Linked DNA regions of Arabidopsis thaliana. The protein of the gene in region 2 interacts with the protein of the main gene of each other region in a pairwise test. Each region holds a gene or a part of one and is shown on either strand. Other genes may lie near its edges.

Region 1 (5,727 bases), about 17 Mb from region 2:
CTACAAAATGTTCAAAGGAACAGAGTGGAAGAGAATCGCTTTCAGAACAGCCTTCTTGTTTCCTGCAGTTGTGTCAGCAATCTTCTTTGTCCTAAACGCTCTCATCTGGGGACAGAAGTCATCTGGGGCTGTCCCCTTTGGAACAATGTTCGCCTTGATCTTCCTCTGGTTTGGCATCTCAGTTCCTCTCGTCTTTGTTGGGGGTTACATTGGGTTCAAGAAGCCAGCGGCTGATGACCCAGTGAAAACCAACAAAATCCCGAGGCAAATCCCAGAGCAAGCTTGGTACATGAACCCGGTTTTCTCAATCCTCATTGGAGGAATCTTACCGTTTGGTGCAGTCTTCATCGAGCTCTTCTTCATCCTCACATCCATCTGGCTCAACCAGTTCTACTACATCTTTGGGTTCCTCTTCCTCGTCTTTGTAATCCTCATTGTGACTTGCGCCGAGATAACCGTAGTACTCTGCTACTTCCAGCTTTGCAGTGAGGACTACCTTTGGTGGTGGAGATCATACCTCACATCAGGCTCATCAGCTCTCTACCTCTTCCTCTATGCCACGTTCTACTTCTTCACAAAGCTTCAGATCACCAAACTGGTCTCTGCGATGCTTTACTTTGGGTACATGCTCATCGCCTCCTACGCATTTTTTGTGCTCACAGGAACAATAGGGTTCTATGCTTGTCTCTGGTTCACAAGGCTCATCTATTCCTCTGTTAAGATCGATTAGAGGATATGATGATCATCATGGCGATTAAGGAAACAAAGAAGAAAAGGTGATCATAGTTTATCTTATTTTTCTTTTTAAAATCGGTTTTGTTGCATTTTAGGTTCTATTTTGTTGCATACCAAAAGAGATTTTAATATATGTAATAGAGTGTATTTTGTTTGATTTGTCAAATAACAACACTTTCTGAGAATTTTTGCAATATAACCAATTTTTATAAATAAACTCAAATGAGAACAACAATCAATCATGGTTTGGTGATATCAAACTCTAACTTTTCCTGCAATCATAAAAGCTTTGTAAACGACGGAACGAACCAGATCAGAACCTCCCCAAGCGGTTTCAAGCTCTCTCACCAAACTCTCCGGTAACAACTCGACGCCTTTCTCTCTCGCCGTGACGATGGCCGACCATGATTTAAACATCCTTATGATCCCTTCAAACGACGTCGTTTTAGGCATCTCCAGCTTTAATGGCTCCCCTTCTGATCCCATCCCAACATTTTCGAAAGGAAACGGCAATGCTTCGTACGAATCGAAGATGTGCTGAATGTACGGATACTTCCAAAACGGCAGCGTTGTGGCGTGGAGCCGATACTGGACGGCGTCGAACTCTGGACTCACTATGACGTCGTTGTATCCCCAGACAGCGATGATTCCGCCTGGTTTACGGAGGAGTCGTGTGGCCACTGAGTAGAACCTAGGGAGATCGAACCAGTGTACGCCTTGGGCGACCGTGATTAGATCCACTGAGTTTTCTCCTCCGATTAATTCCACTAGCTCGTCGTCGGTCATTGACGTCGGCGTATGGCGATAATTGATTTTCGGATGTGGCGTTGCTAGCTTCAGCTGCGATTCACTCACGTCCGTTGCTACGACACTCTCGTAATGCTCTGCAACCTGCAAAATGGAGGCGAAATTTGTCAAATCCAAGATCTGATGCATGTTGTTGTGATCATTTACGAGCAAGAAGCTAAATCTGTTAAATCTAAGTTTGAAGCTCTATAAAAATTTATGAGCATCAAATACTGACGGCGAGAGCTGCTTGGCCATTTCCGGTGGCAGCATCCCAGGCTAAACCGTGGTGATCGGTGAGATCAGCGAGCTTCGAGAACCACTCAGAGGGGTAATTAGGTCTGGCGTCAAGGTATAGATCGGCTTGTTTATCAAACAATCCTGCCATTTTCTCTCTGTTTTGCTTCTTCTTTTCTTTCTCTCTTTTTTCTGATTAGTGTCTAGCCATGACTCTCTAGTCATATATAGTAGTCTTTTTAGCTTGTGGGAATCTCAAAGATAATGACCTCCAACGAAGCAGCATATCGCTTTCCTTCTCTATTTTTTAATTGGATTTTGAAGTAATTGTTTAGGTGTTTGTTGATGTTGATTAGGATTTTTGAGTTTCGGTGGGAAGATGAAACATTTGACTTTCTCTTTTTGCTTTCAAGATCTGTCAATCATACTATCGAGTTTGTGAATTTTGGCTAATAAAGCGATTTGGTTTCGTTTTTGTAGAATTTCAGACTGGTAGTTGAAGAAAGACGTCATTGCTTACAAAGTCAACAAGGTAAATGTCATTGTCAAGTGGGAAACTTTATAATATATCTTTTGTTTTTCCTCGTGTGTGAATGTCTAAACCTTTTTGAAAGTCTAAAAGGCATTTCCTTTACATTGAAAATAACGATTAAAGGCTCTTGCTCTCGATATTTTGATTTCAGATCCAATGTTCATCTCCTAAACAGTCAACACCATGGAAACACTAGAAACTGAGAAATTCTTCTCAGACGATAAACCTCTCCTAAAACCAATTTCAGATCATTCTGAGATCAAGACAAAAGCAAGAAGAAACGCTGTCGTCTCAGTTCTAATTCAGCCCTTCCAATGGTTACAAATGCTGAGTTCTAGGCTAAACCTGAGCTTCGTGCTAGGTGTGGTCCTTGTGTACGGTGTAAACCAAGGGTTCTCTGGTTCGATATTCAAAGTCGTCACAGACTATTACTGGAAAGATGTCCAGCAAGTGCAGCCATCGGTTGTGCAGCTTTACATGGGGTTATATTACATTCCATGGGTCATGAGACCCATTTGGGGTCTCTTCACCGATGTGTTCCCTATCAAAGGTTACAAAAGAAAGCCGTATTTTGTAGTTTCTGGTGTTCTTGGTTTGGTATCTGCGATTGCTATTGTTGTTCTTGGTAAGTTGCCCGCTGCTTTGGCTTTGAGCTGCCTCTTAGGTGTCTCTGCAGCTATGGCCATTGCAGATGTGGTGATTGATGCGTGTATAGCAACAAACAGCATCAATATCCGATCTTTGGCTCCTGATATACAGAGCCTTTGTATGGTTTGTTCATCTGCTGGCGCTTTGGTTGGATACGCAACTAGTGGAGTCTTCGTTCACCAGCTTGGACCTCAGGTTGAGCCTTTACACCTTTTTAGTCACGTTTTCAGGACGTGTTCCCTTTAGATATCGAGATTAGAAACTTGAAATCTCGTTTTTCTGTTTTGTTTTTTCTGATATAGGGAGCATTAGGGGTATTAGCATTTTCGCCTGCAACTATCGTCATACTTGGGTTTTTCATCTACGAGAAAAGATCTTCTACTGTTCCTACACAAAAGACCAAAAAGGTGAGGCCTTAGCCTGTAATCTCAACTCCTTTGATCTCTCTCACAAGTGACCAGAATTGGCGTCGCAGCAGAATAATCCAAACAGAAATTTTCCTTGTCTTTATTTGTTTCTGCCGGATTATTGAAAATTCATGCCTCTTGACTTTATCTCATGACTTGGAATCTTGATCGAACTCTTGAGCAATCGTTTGAATTTTCTTCAGGACACAGATGGCTTAGGAGTAGCGGTGAAGGGAATGTGCAAAACAGTAAAGTACCCTGAAGTGTGGAAGCCATCTCTTTACATGTTCATATCCTTAGCTCTCAACATCAGCACTCATGAAGGCCACTTCTACTGGTACACTGATCCTACAGCTGGGCCCGCCTTTTCCCAGGTTGGTTGTACAATCCTGAAGAAGCTCTTTTTAAAGATCTTGATTTAAAGAATAAAGATAGTGGTTAAACAGTTTGGGTCTTATATAGATTGAGTTCATAGGAACCAGTATAGTTACTAAACGACATGGGAAGCTAGCAAAAACAGGTTCCCATGGATCGCAAGCTCAAGATTGACACTGTGGTAGTATGTCATGATATTATGTGAATCATATTTCAGACTGTTTCGCTGGTTTATATTAATCTCCATGGAGTCACTTCTCTTGAAAGCCTATTTTAGCTAGGAAAAATCTTGTCTTTAGGTTTGTGAATATCTGCATGCCTTATGAAATGGTGTTGAAATTATGATTGTGTGGTAGTGTCACATTGACATATAAAGCTATGGAGTTTCTGAACAAGCTAATAAAATTCTTTATCCAATAATGTAATTATGAGCTAGATTCAAACTTGCTTATTTTGGTCTAAATGCAGGAGTTTGTGGGAATAATCTATGCAGTCGGGGCATTGGCATCTATGTTTGGAGTTCTCATATATCACAAGAAGCTCAAAGGCTATTCCTTTAGGAACATACTCTTCTTTGCACAACTTCTATACGTCTTCTCAGGAATGCTTGATCTAGTCTTCATCAAACGCTGGAACTTAACTCTCGGGATACCAGATTCCTTGTTTGTGATAACCGAAGAATCTTTCACGAAGATGATAAGTAAGATCAGGTGGATCCCCATGGTGGTTCTCAGTACAAGGCTTTGTCCTCTGGGAATCGAAGGCACCTTCTTTGCTTTCCTCATGTGCATTGATAGTTTTGGACAGCTTGCTTCTAAATGGGGTGGAGGGTTTGTTCTTCACGCTTTTGGTGTCACGAGACACGATTTCGGAAATCTCTGGCTCGTGATTCTGATAAGGAATATTTTGAGACTCGTCACTGTGTGTTTCGTTTTCCTCGTTCCAGATTCCGATCATTTGGATGATCTTGTACCTTCTGATGTGTTGCCAAAGAAACAATCAGAAGATGATGATGATGACGACATTAAACTTTTGCTTCTGTAAAGCTATTTTGTATAACATGAAACATTTCGAACAGTAAATGCCTAACATGAACAATTTCAAAGAAACAAAATCTACTAATCAGATGGAAACAGCTTGTAGTTTTTTCATATTTTAAAGGAAATACATGCCGTTTTGTCGTACTATATCTGATGTCACATGTTAAGCGACAGAGACCCTATGTTATTTTACGATTTTGCCCTCTTGTTGGGTTATACAGTATTCGTTTTTCTCTCTCAAACAGTGAAACTTCTTCTTCTTCTTCTCGTCTTCGTCGTCTAAACCTCAAACTCTGCTAGCGAAGTCACAATATCACTCGAAGATGGTAATCGATTTCTTCTCCTAACGTTCCTTTTGTGTAGTTTTAGTGATTCCTTAGTCAATCGCGAAGAAATTTGAGCAAATCCTTTTGGTTAGATCGTGTTAGGTTTTCGAATATCGTTCCTTACGCAGTTTGAATCTCAGTTTCTGATGATTTCTCGTTAGTTTACGGAACATAGAGAAGGAAATTCAAACTTGTTTTGATTGTCTCAGTTCTTATAAGCTGACTATTATCAACTTTCTTCTTTGTTGTGTAGGCTAATCACAACAGTAGTAGGCACACAATCATCTTGTTGCAGAATTCTCCGAGCAGAGCTACGAGGACTTTCATGGACTATGACTCTATAGGCCAAGCTATGGATGGTAATTATTAATTTCGAATCATCATTCTCTAACTAGTCTACTCATTGTTGACTTTGGTTATGATTATGTTGAGGTTTATCTTTGTGGCAACAAGATGGATGATTTTGAATTACGACATGTATATTATATAATTCTGTAGCTATTTCTGTGACTTATTAGGAAGTTCAGATTTTAGTACCAGTGCTATAAGCTGATTGATATATAGTGTGTGATGAGTCTGCTCGGTAATAAAGTGGTAATAAAGTGGTTTGTATTTTGATTACTAACTTGTTTGCTCAATAA
Region 2 (7,401 bases):
TAAGATTTGGGTCATCAATGAATGTATATTTTGCAGTTTATAGGAGCAACAATGGGTGCATCAGGGTTACAGTTGCAAACAGAGAGTGGTCCATTAGCTATGCCAAACAATATATGTTGTGTTGTTGTTGAATATCTTCCAGGTGGTGCTTTAAAATCTTACCTGATCAAGAACAGAAGAAGAAAACTAACATTTAAAATTGTTGTTCAGCTCGCTCTTGATCTCGCTAGAGGGTACATTATATTCTCCCTTCTTTCGCTGCCTTCTCAAGTCGTTTATCTGCTCTAATGGTTATTGTTATGTTGCTTTTAGGTTGAGTTACCTTCATTCGCAGAAGATTGTTCACCGAGATGTAAAGACAGAGAATATGTTGTTAGACAAAACCCGGACTGTTAAAATCGCAGATTTTGGAGTTGCGAGAGTTGAAGCATCTAACCCTAATGACATGACAGGAGAGACTGGCACACTTGGCTACATGGCGCCTGAGGTACTATAGTGATAATGCATCATCAAGATTGGTAACAAACCAACTTTTTATAACAAATAAACTTTGGCTGCAGGTTCTCAATGGAAACCCGTATAATCGAAAATGCGATGTATACAGTTTCGGGATCTGCTTATGGGAGATATATTGCTGTGACATGCCATACCCTGACCTTACTTTCTCTGAGGTCACTTCAGCCGTCGTCCGCCAGGTATGGTTGAATAGATTAAGCAAAGAAAAGTTAATTTAATTGAAATGTGCATATTGGTTGTTTCACAATTATATTTTGTTGTAAATCTTGAGGAATCACTGAAGTAAAAAATGTGATCTAGAGTAGTGTAACCATTTCATCATTTCACTGAAGTAAAAAATCTATATGCAATATGCTGCTACATATGATCAATGCAGAACCTGAGACCCGATATACCGAGGTGTTGCCCGAGCGCACTTGCAGCTGTGATGAAGCGATGTTGGGATGCAAATCCGGACAAGAGACCGGAGATGGATGAGGTTGTACCAATGTTGGAGAGTATTGACACAACCAAGGGAGGAGGGATGATTCCTAACGACCAGCAACAGGGTTGCCTATGCTTCCGAAGGAAACGTGGTCCTTAATTCCCAAAGACCAATCTAAGATCATTCAAAACTCAAGATTCGTGTCCTTGCTTCTTTTCTTTTTCTTTTTATAATCCAGAAGGAAAAAAAATGGGAAGGCTTGTTAGGGATCTAATGGTTGCTAAAATTTACGTAAAGAGTATGATTTGGTTTCCATATTCTTCAACATTTCTTGTTTTGCTCTATTTGTGAGAGTTGCTTATTAAATATTTATGGTCACGTATATCATCATCTCTAATCATATATTTGATATAGCTAGTCAATGGTACAACTGTTCTTTTTGTCTTTATGGGTTAACCAACTACACTCGACAGGAACATCCTATTTGATATATATAGTCCAATGTTCAGCTATGATAAACCTCACTTCCCATAGAAGGACCATTAGGTTGGAATGCATAGTCGAGAAACAACTTTGTTGAAGATATTATTGCTACTTCAGTATTGTCTTTTGGTTTAATAGAGTAGATCTAGTCAATAGCTACTAATCTTAGCTTAGTCCACATTTCTTTGCCCCATTATGGTCTAATCTTAGCTTAGTCAACATTTCTTTGCCCCATTATGGTCTTTTTGTAACCTTAGGTTATCTTCTCTCTTTGTATAACTATGGGTCTAACGCCTCATTAACAATAACACAAGTTAACAATAACGTATTATTGAGACTAGAAGCTTGTGCTAATAATGTTTCTTAGAAGTCTAGTGTTTAGTGCCAAATTGTATAGTGTGTTTAAGAACACTGATTATAAATAATAATAGCAGTTGGCGACACCACAATGAAACTATATCTATATCATTCATTCATTACCAAACAAATAAATAAGTATTGTCTTCATTGTCAAAAATTTAGTAATAAGAAAAAAGCGTTGGGGAACTACTAATGACAAATGAATTAAGAGTAATGACAGGTAAGAGGTTGTTTTCGTGGTGACGTCAATCGGTGCACAAAGTAACGCTGATATAGCGAAACGTAGACAACTGTCCCCTCTGCTCCTTCCTCATCAAGCCTCTTCTCTTCACTGCTTCTTCTTCTAGTTTACTCTCCAATTTTCTTCTGCTGCTGCTTCTTCACAAGGTTTCTATTTCTTCTAATCTGTGTATAATCTCTCCTCTCTGCTCTTCTTACTTAAACAGAATCATTTTTAAAACTCTGCTCTTGATTTTAGCTTTAAAAACGAGGTCTTTTTGTTGGGTTTTTGTTCTGTTTCGCCTTCTTTCTTCATTTACGAGCTTTTTGAGCTTAAAGTTCGTGACTTTTGCTGCTTTCGTGATTTGGGTTTCAGTAACTTTGCGGTTTATTGAAGTTTTTTTGGTGTAAAGTTACAACTGTGGGTTTAGCTCAAAACGAGGTCTTTACCTCTGTTTTTATGTTTTCTACTTATTGAGCTCAAATTTCGTAGCTTTTGATTCTTCTGTGATTTGGGTTTCAGTCACTTTTCGGGTTAGTGAAGTTTTTGGTGTAGAGTTTTGGTTTTTATTGTTTTTGCAACTGTGGGTTAGCTCAAAACGAGGTCTTTTTCTTGTTTTCTGCTTCTTGAGCTCAAATTTCGTGAGTTTTGCTTCTTCTGTGATTTGGGTTTCAGTCACTTTCTCGTTATGTGAAGTTTTTGGTTTAAAGTTTTGATTTTTATTTTTTTGTTGCAGAGGTTGAAGAATGTCAGCTCCGAAATCGGGTGGTGATCCACTACCACATCCGCCGAAAGAACAGCTTCCAGATATCTCTTACTGCATTACAAGTCCTCCTCCATGGCGTTAGTTTCTCTCTTCTTTTCCTTTTCCCTTAACGTTTGACTTCTAGCTTTTGTTCTAGGCATATCCCTGGTTTTGAAGCCTTGTGATTGATTAGCTTCTTCCATTTTTACTTTTTCTGATTTTGGTATCATTTACTTTTTGCTTTTTGTTGCAACGTGAGGATTGGATTCTTACTTTTCTCTTTAAGAAATATTCGTTTTTACCTTGAGAATCTCCTACTAGGTGTTTTGAGGATCATTCTTTGCTAACAAAGGAAATTAAACTTAATCCACCCCTTGGTTTTGCTATATGTTCAATCTAACTTTTATTTTTAGTGTTACTGTATGTTTCTAATTTGGTAGTTGGTTTTTGAATAATTCTTGTTTGAATATGAGGTTTTAAGCTTCTTAATTAGTAAATGTGAGACTGAGTTTATTCTTGTCTTACAGCTGAGGCTGTTCTGCTTGGGTTTCAACACTACCTTGTGATGCTTGGAACAACAGTTCTGATTCCATCGGCTCTTGTTCCACAAATGGGAGGTAGAAATGTAAGTTAAGTCTCTTTTCTAGAAAGATAGTTGTTCACATTATTCTTTTCAGTCTTTCATTGTACTTAAAGTTTATGATTTTGGCAGGAAGAGAAGGCAAAGCTGATCCAGACAATATTGTTTGTAGCTGGATTGAACACACTGCTCCAAACTGTGTTTGGAACTAGATTACCTGCTGTTATTGGAGCATCTTATACATTTGTCCCGGTTACTATCTCAATCATGCTTTCTGGGAGATTCAATGACGTTGCAGATCCAGTTGAGGTTCGTAGCTCACACTTATCCCCTAATTGAATTGTGTTATTATCTATTTAGTGTACTATCACTATCAATAAAGTTATGCTTGAATATGAAGTTTTACTCTAAATTACCTTTTTGATACCTTATCAGCGATTTAAGAGGATAATTCGGGCAACCCAAGGTGCTCTTATTGTTGCTTCAACTCTTCAAATTATCCTTGGCTTCAGTGGCCTTTGGCGTAATGTTGTAAGGTCAGTCTTTGAGCTACATTAGACTCAAATCTTGTTCCACTGTGTCAGGTTAAAGAATATGATATTGAACTTCTGTTCGTCCAGGTTCTTAAGTCCACTATCTGCTGCTCCTTTGGTTGGATTAGTTGGTTATGGCCTGTACGAGTTAGGTTTTCCCGGTGTAAGTCTCTTTGTTCTGTAAATGGGAACAGATAAACTAAATTATATCAACCTAGTGGAATCTTGATTCTTTGTTATTTTGGCCAGGTTGCTAAGTGTATTGAGATTGGACTGCCTGGGCTTATTATTCTCATACTAATATCACAGGTAATTGTAGGTAAAGATTCATAACTGGTAGCAATTTGCAGCCGGCTCATCTGTTCTCATTGCATAAGTTATTGATCCGGATGTGTTCTTCCAGTATGTTGATGTTTCTAATCATCTGGGTCATACTTTTTGCTGGTTTTGTAGTACATGCCCCATGTTATAAAAGGAGGAAAACATGTGTTTGCTCGCTTTGCTGTCATATTTTCTGTGGCGATAGTATGGCTTTATGCTTTCTTTCTTACACTTGGTGGTGCCTATAATGGTGTTGGGACAGATACTCAAAGAAGCTGTCGGACTGATCGCGCTGGGCTTATAAGTGCTGCTCCATGGTAAGAATTTCAGAACAAGGCTTGAACATTGAATGTCTCGCTGAGTTATGTTAGCAAAAAAGTATTTTCTTTAATGACCTGTCAGTGAATACAAGTGTGGCTTAGCATTTTACGCTTATTAATTGTGCAGGATAAGAGTTCCGTGGCCTTTCCAATGGGGAGCACCATTGTTTGATGCTGGTGAAGCATTTGCCATGATGATGGCTTCTTTTGTTGCTCTTGTTGAGGTTTGTTTCACTCATCTTCACCTTTTTTAAATGACATTAGACAATTATTTATGATATGCATAGATTTTCATATCCATTTATATAGAAAGGCTGTCCTTAATAGATGAATTTCATAGGTTGCATACTCATTAACTTTTAAAGTCAATGAGACTCTCTCTTCATTCTTTCGAATTTTCTTGCTCTTTGGTTTAATCTCATCTTGCTTACTCATTATGTTGACTTGTTTGTCAACAAAAAACAGTCCACAGGTGCTTTTATTGCCGTCTCAAGATATGCTAGTGCCACAATGCCGCCACCTTCTGTTATCAGCCGCGGGGTTGGTTGGCAGGTAAATACTCACTTCATAAGCTTCATTTTACAAATACCATCTCGAGGTTTTCTCGGGGCAAGCAAGTGGCCATTTATCTAACGTTGTGCCTCAACTATGTTCTCTTCTGGTTTAGGGAGTTGCAATTTTAATCTCAGGGTTGTTCGGAACTGGTATAGGGTCTTCAGTTTCTGTGTAAGACCTCCTATCCTTTTCCCAAATCTAGGACATGAGCTGATTTTGAATGGTGTGGTGAGTTTGTTTTCACATGAATGCAGCGAGAATGCGGGTCTGCTGGCACTAACAAAAATTGGTAGCAGGAGAGTTGTTCAAATATCTGCAGGCTTTATGATATTCTTCTCAATTCTTGGTAAGCTTGTCTCTCTCACAAAAATTCATTAAGAATTGAAGTGGACTACGTTAAGTAATCGTCTTAAATAAAACTAATGCAGGGAAGTTCGGGGCAGTATTTGCATCCATACCTTCTCCTATCATAGCTGCCTTGTACTGTCTCTTCTTTGCGTATGTAGGTAAGTATTGTTTCTTTTTTAGCTTGGTTTAGATTGAAGCAATTTGGTTCAGATTGGTTTGCTTACCAACATATAGAGCTAGAGACTTGTTTTAGCTATGAGCATCTTTAATACAAAAACTGTTGTATAGGTGCTGGAGGACTGAGTTTGCTGCAATTCTGCAACCTGAATAGCTTCAGGACATTATTCATACTGGGCTTCTCAATCTTCCTAGGCCTATCAATTCCACAATATTTCAACGAGCACACAGCCATCAAAGGCTATGGTCCAGTTCATACCGGGGCAAGATGGTTCAACGACATGGTCAATGTGCCCTTCTCGTCCAAGGCCTTTGTGGGAGGATGTGTGGCTTACTTGTTGGACACGACGCTTCACAAGAAAGATGGTTCGATCAGGAAAGACCGAGGTAAACACTGGTGGGACAGATTCTGGACTTTCAAGAACGACCCGAGAACAGAAGAGTTCTATGCTCTTCCGTTCAACCTCAACAAATATTTCCCTTCTGTCTGAAAAAAAATCCTTCCAAACTTTATGGAATGCTGTTTTGCTAGTTTTGTGTCCCTTAGGAGGACACACCTTATCTAGCTAGGTTTTATGTGCATATTCGGTGAGGAGACTATAAAACGCAACTAGATATTATAACCCAAAGTGTTAAGTAACATTTTAGAAATATTAATGTGATGTTTCTTCTATGTTTAGATGTTTTGCATTAAAGATGATACTCGTTTTGCCAAATTTAGAACTAGAGTATGTATGCTCTGTTTTAATACAAATGATTAAAAGAGAAAATTTTGTGAGTTTTGGAGGCTTTTCGATTCTAATTCTATAACAAAAAAAATTTCCTACAAAAATTTGTAATGCTAGATTTGACGTTGAAACTCTTATGATATACTTTTGAAGATAAGTAGGGGTTCATGTGCTTCATTCTCTGTCGTCCATTTAAACACTTCTTTGGTTGCATATAACTAGTTGATAGGAAGTTAACGATAACTAAAAGTCTAAAACAGATGGTTAGCCACAACGATGAGTATTTGCACACAAAAAACAGAGCCTCAATGATGAATGGGTTTTGTATTTAGTTGTGTTATACTGTATTTGTTTTGTTTGATTGGTAGAATAATATGTGCTTGTTTGTGGCACATATATAAATACATTTTTGACTGATAAAATTTAAAGACGTCATTAGCTAAATCGGTTACCACTTACCACCTTAGGTTAAGGTATAAGAAGTTATAAACTATTGTGAGTTACTTAATAATAATCTACGGATCAAAAATGTTAGAATCCAAAAAAGTGCACTAGTTCGAAATCATTTATGCGGGTCTATACATATAATTCGTAGGAGGTTACTTGAAATGATCCCAACCAATTTGTTCATATTATCTATGCTTAGTGATTTGGTTTAAGACAAAAAAAATTACCCTAACCAATATGGTTAAATTCTCAACTTATCTCGAAAAAAGGGTAGGCAAGTGTCCTACACTATAGAAATGGATAATGTTGATTTTATTGTTTTCTAATTAAAACATTGCTAAAATAGAGATCTGAAGAAAATAAAGAGGACGAAACTGTAAAGTGTAAAAACATTGATGGAGACAAGAAAGCAGAAAAAAAGAGTTACATTTTACTTTCTAGTAAGAAAAAAAAAACATGAATATTAATTATTTTTGTACATAAATATAAGAAGACAAAACAGAAAATTAAAAATAAAAAATAATCCCCAAATAATGGAGACGAAGTGGAGAGAGAAAGCTCCCACTCTCTCACACCCCAAAGCTTCTTCTTCTTCTTCCTCTTCTTCCTCTTCCTCTTCTCTAATCTGAATCCAAAGCCTCTCT
Region 3 (4,645 bases), about 12 Mb from region 2:
GTTTTTCTTTGTCATGTAATATACACGAGTTCGAATTCGGATAGTAACACATCCGTGACAGTAGCCCAAATTAAATCACTAATCATCTTTTTTTGTTAAAGCCTTGAAGGACTTCCAAATCATCAATAATATCTTCTCAAATGTGTAATTAGTGAACTTGAAACTTTTGAAAAATAATTTGAAATATCTCGTTATACGATTAATTATATGAAAATTCATAGAAAATGTGATGCTAATAGGAATATAGCAATTTGGGGGAAAAATCTAATGAAAAAGGATTTTATGAAACTTCATATATTATTACTATTTTTTGTTAAACATGAAATTTGGAGTGACTTCAAACAAATTAAAAATATGAAATCTCCCATATATACAACATCAACGTAAAAAAACAAAAAAAAAGCCTCATTCATGCCTCGTTATCGTCGGATTCTATCGTATTGATCTCTTCATGGTAGTCTCCATTATTCATCTTGACCATTCGTTGTTCTCATGTCTCTCTTAATCTCCGGTTAAGCTCTGATTCTCACTTTGATCTCTTGTTCGATCTTTCTACTATTATTATTGCATTTACTATTTAAAATTTTATATCCTAGTAGTTGGATCTCTAATCTCTTATTAACAAATTATTGACGTAGATGACAAAAAAATAAAAAAAATCATTGACGTTAATCTTACACATTATGTTCTGTGAGGTAGTAGAACAATTTTGGAGGTAACACTTTTCTTTCACAGTTGTTGTCTTCGTCAAAACTATGGGCCTAGAGGTATCTAACTTTTGATACGAAAATTCTCCTTAGCAGCATTTTAAAAAAATCATAAGAGCCCACTGAATCTCAAGCCTTTTTATAATCATTAGAATATATTTGATATTTATTAAAAGCCCACTAATTTTAAAATCCACCAAAATAATCAAAATCCTTAATCCAATAGACCCTTAAATAGTTAAATTATTTAGAAACTCTAACAAATTCTTTTATTTAACAACCTTCCTAAGCTTAAAGTTTGTAATTGTTTTGTATTTTTCCCAAAGTTTTAGTATCTTGATATTTTAAGATCGTTCTATAAATAGATTTGATTTTGTAAGTTGTTTATATTGTTACTAGGCCTTTGTATAAATACCAAATACTTTGATTATTTTTTTACTGATTTCATGTCAAACAAAATTCCAAACAACTTAAAGGAAAAAGCTTACTCGATTGGAATAAAAATTGTACGTTTAACAAAATGATATTAGTGAAATAAATAAACCAGCTCAACATTTAAGGATTTCTACGTGTATATACAGTAATCGTGTTTAGTATTAATTAGCTATAGTTTAGCCTCAAAAAACAAAGATCCAAAACAACATGACGAAATTGACTTCCACATCGTGTCCTTTCTCGTCGACATAAAAACTTTAATATATAGATGCATGTATAAGTATACTCACTATTTGTGTCATTAGTATTTTCTTTTTTGATACTTGGAGCTAATGACAAAAATTCCGCTAGAAATATCTTCTCCAACGATAGCTACAAACAAATACTACCATTGCGTCATCATCACTTATTTATATTCGATATTTCAGTCAACAACACTAATCTCTTTCACCAAAATCTTTGGACTATTATTACAAATGAATTAAAAACTTGGACCCTTAATAACATATTTGTTTCATTAAATCTATACAACTCTTATTAAAAATGATATTTTCTTAAATCAAAAATTAATCAAAATTAAGGTAGGCTCTAGAGGATTGCATCATTTGCCCACCCACATTAGCCTGCCATTATTATTGGACGGTAACAAATTTCCTTACACCAATAAATGGTAAGTTACAATTATTATTAACATTTCTATATAAAATAGTTTGGTTATTTACATTAATTTTTATTTAATACTATAAACTTAAAAATTCAATGCTGAAAAGTGTAACGGAAAGAGGGACATTAAATATATGTTAATATAATAAGTATATTTACTATTTAAAAAAGACTTATGTAAATACATATTGTATAGAGAGAAAAATAACCCATAGTATAAAAACTTGCATCTCTAAAACCGCAGCATTGATAATAAGAGTCTCTTTCTTCTTAAGTATCTCTTAATTAACCCACATAATATATTTACAAGTGGCCGCCTCATACATCCCCTCTCAAGTCCTTTGCTTCATTTCTTATAAAACTAAACCACCTTCTTCTTCATCATTCATCACCAATCTATCTCATATTCCATATACTGAATATGGACTCATTCTACTTCTGTATATACACATGGGATCCAAACTTAAACTTTACCCTCTCTTAAATCACTCATCCGTTTTTCACCCAGACAGTCGTTACCAATCGGCCCCTACAATGGAGGAAGAGCAACAACAACTTCGTGTTCTCTTCGCGAAATACGAGATGGGAAGGTTACTAGGCAAAGGAACATTCGGAAAAGTTTATTACGGCAAAGAGATAACAACCGGAGAAAGCGTTGCAATCAAAATCATCAACAAAGATCAAGTCAAACGTGAAGGTATGATGGAACAAATCAAACGAGAGATCTCAATCATGAGACTTGTTCGTCATCCAAACATCGTTGAGTTAAAAGAAGTCATGGCTACAAAAACAAAGATCTTCTTTATCATGGAATACGTTAAAGGCGGTGAACTTTTCTCCAAGATCGTTAAAGGAAAGCTTAAAGAAGACTCTGCTCGTAAGTATTTCCAACAATTAATCTCAGCCGTTGATTTTTGTCATAGTAGAGGCGTTTCTCACCGAGATCTAAAACCGGAGAATCTCTTAGTTGACGAGAACGGAGATCTTAAGGTTTCAGATTTTGGTCTCTCTGCTTTACCGGAACAGATTTTACAAGACGGTTTGCTTCATACTCAGTGTGGAACTCCGGCGTATGTTGCACCGGAGGTTTTGAGGAAGAAAGGTTACGACGGAGCTAAAGGTGATATTTGGTCGTGTGGTATTATCTTGTACGTGCTTCTCGCTGGATTCTTACCGTTTCAAGATGAGAACCTAATGAAAATGTATCGGAAGATCTTCAAATCGGAGTTTGAGTATCCGCCGTGGTTTTCACCGGAGTCCAAGAGGTTGATTTCAAAGCTTTTAGTTGTTGATCCTAACAAACGGATCTCGATACCGGCGATTATGCGAACACCGTGGTTTCGTAAAAACATCAACTCTCCGATCGAGTTCAAGATCGATGAGCTCGAGATCCAAAACGTAGAAGACGAAACACCAACAACAACAGCAACAACAGCAACAACAACAACAACACCGGTCTCGCCGAAGTTCTTTAACGCGTTTGAATTCATCTCTTCTATGTCATCAGGATTTGATCTATCAAGTTTGTTCGAGAGTAAGAGGAAGCTGAGATCTATGTTTACGTCACGGTGGTCGGCGTCGGAGATAATGGGGAAGCTTGAAGGGATAGGGAAAGAGATGAATATGAAGGTGAAGAGGACTAAAGACTTTAAGGTGAAGTTGTTTGGGAAAACGGAAGGGAGGAAAGGACAGATCGCGGTGACTGCTGAGGTTTTCGAGGTTGCGCCGGAAGTCGCCGTCGTTGAGTTGTGTAAGTCGGCGGGAGATACTTTGGAGTATAATAGGTTGTATGAAGAACATGTCCGGCCAGCGTTGGAGGAGATAGTGTGGTCGTGGCACGGTGATAATCATAATAATAATATTGTTAAGAGTAATGGTAATTATGTTAGTGATGAAAATTCTGGTAGTGACTGCTAAGAGAATGTAATGATAGTTATGTAAATTAAACTGTGTATTTTTGTTAATCAGTTGTTAGATTCAAGGAAGTTTTTGTATATTGTGTATATAGAAGTTGAGGTTTATTTTATTCTCTTTGAGCAACTTATTTTAATCATTTAGATTATTTACTAAAAGTAGATATAGTTTCGCCTTATGCGCCATGATGATGAATTTGTTAGAATCCGACTTATGGCCATATCTCGTTGATGTTAGGAAAACGGTAGATTCTTGGATCGAACTGATAAAAACGGTTTATGAGATCAGTGTATTATGTCGTATTCGAAAAAGTTTTAAAAGATGTTAATCACTTTTTACATGAGTATTGTAGGTGTTTTAGTTCCGGGAGCCCTGGAGCCATCATCCCTTTTACTAAACATGCTCAAGTATGTAGGATGATACTTTATGTTTCGCTGATCAACCATTAATTATAATCGCTTAAAAACATATTTCGATGCCAACCATTCTTTTTTCGACAACTATACCGGGTTACATGGACTATTTCACTAGAACAAAAATTGTTAATTTTATATTATATCCGCCTAAAAAGTAATATAATGGATCGTCTATAGTTTTACGGACGATCCAAACCAATTATCCAACAAGTATATCTACAAATTAGGATAAGATATTTTCTATAAATACCATTTTATCACATCTAGTAGAAATAATGGAGTAATAGAAGTTTGCTAATAGATATTCGCTAATGAAAATTGTCATCTTTGTACTCATATCTCACATCCATACCACAGTCCACGTATAAATAAACAGTACAAAACCTTACACTATCTCTTCTATCTTCCGAATATACCAATTATCTCTCTAGGAATTGGAACATGTATTAACGTTAATAACAAGAACTACTTAGAAACAAATTTTCTCTTAAGAAATTATTAATATAGGAT

What was found.
Region 1: the proteins of AT5G49990 (region 2) and AT5G10820 interact in a protein complementation assay, tested with the Arabidopsis thaliana proteins (one large-scale study listed by BioGRID).
Region 3: the proteins of AT5G49990 (region 2) and CIPK25 interact in a protein complementation assay, tested with the Arabidopsis thaliana proteins (one large-scale study listed by BioGRID).

The regions. Positions count from the first base shown.
Region 1 is NC_003076.8:3,419,913-3,425,639, reverse strand, and holds AT5G10820 (Major facilitator superfamily protein), read left to right. Parts: upstream 1-2,340; 5' UTR 2,341-2,473; coding exon 2,474-3,133; intron 3,134-3,240; coding exon 3,241-3,345; intron 3,346-3,548; coding exon 3,549-3,719; intron 3,720-4,188; coding exon 4,189-4,764; 3' UTR 4,765-4,940; downstream 4,941-5,727. Other genes in the region: EMP1 (Endomembrane protein 70 protein family), read left to right, coding at 1-730; AT5G10830 (S-adenosyl-L-methionine-dependent methyltransferases superfamily protein), read right to left, coding at 991-1,626, 1,760-1,909; ER (enhancer of rudimentary protein), read left to right, coding at 5,084-5,086, 5,340-5,445. UniProt on the Arabidopsis thaliana protein: Could mediate folate transport.
Region 2 is NC_003076.8:20,336,536-20,343,936, reverse strand, and holds AT5G49990 (Xanthine/uracil permease family protein), read left to right. Parts: upstream 1-1,901; 5' UTR 1,902-2,170; exon of another isoform or gene 2,171-2,190; intron 2,191-2,230; exon of another isoform or gene 2,231-2,739; 5' UTR 2,740-2,749; coding exon 2,750-2,846; intron 2,847-3,275; coding exon 3,276-3,373; intron 3,374-3,460; coding exon 3,461-3,637; intron 3,638-3,763; coding exon 3,764-3,864; intron 3,865-3,948; coding exon 3,949-4,024; intron 4,025-4,110; coding exon 4,111-4,170; intron 4,171-4,314; coding exon 4,315-4,499; intron 4,500-4,629; coding exon 4,630-4,726; intron 4,727-4,967; coding exon 4,968-5,054; intron 5,055-5,169; coding exon 5,170-5,228; intron 5,229-5,311; coding exon 5,312-5,403; intron 5,404-5,485; coding exon 5,486-5,563; intron 5,564-5,693; coding exon 5,694-6,073; 3' UTR 6,074-6,351; downstream 6,352-7,401. Other genes in the region: AT5G50000 (Protein kinase superfamily protein), read left to right, coding at 37-233, 313-487, 561-695, 893-1,099.
Region 3 is NC_003076.8:8,656,817-8,661,461, reverse strand, and holds CIPK25 (CBL-interacting protein kinase 25), read left to right. Parts: upstream 1-2,109; 5' UTR 2,110-2,255; coding exon 2,256-3,722; 3' UTR 3,723-3,858; downstream 3,859-4,645.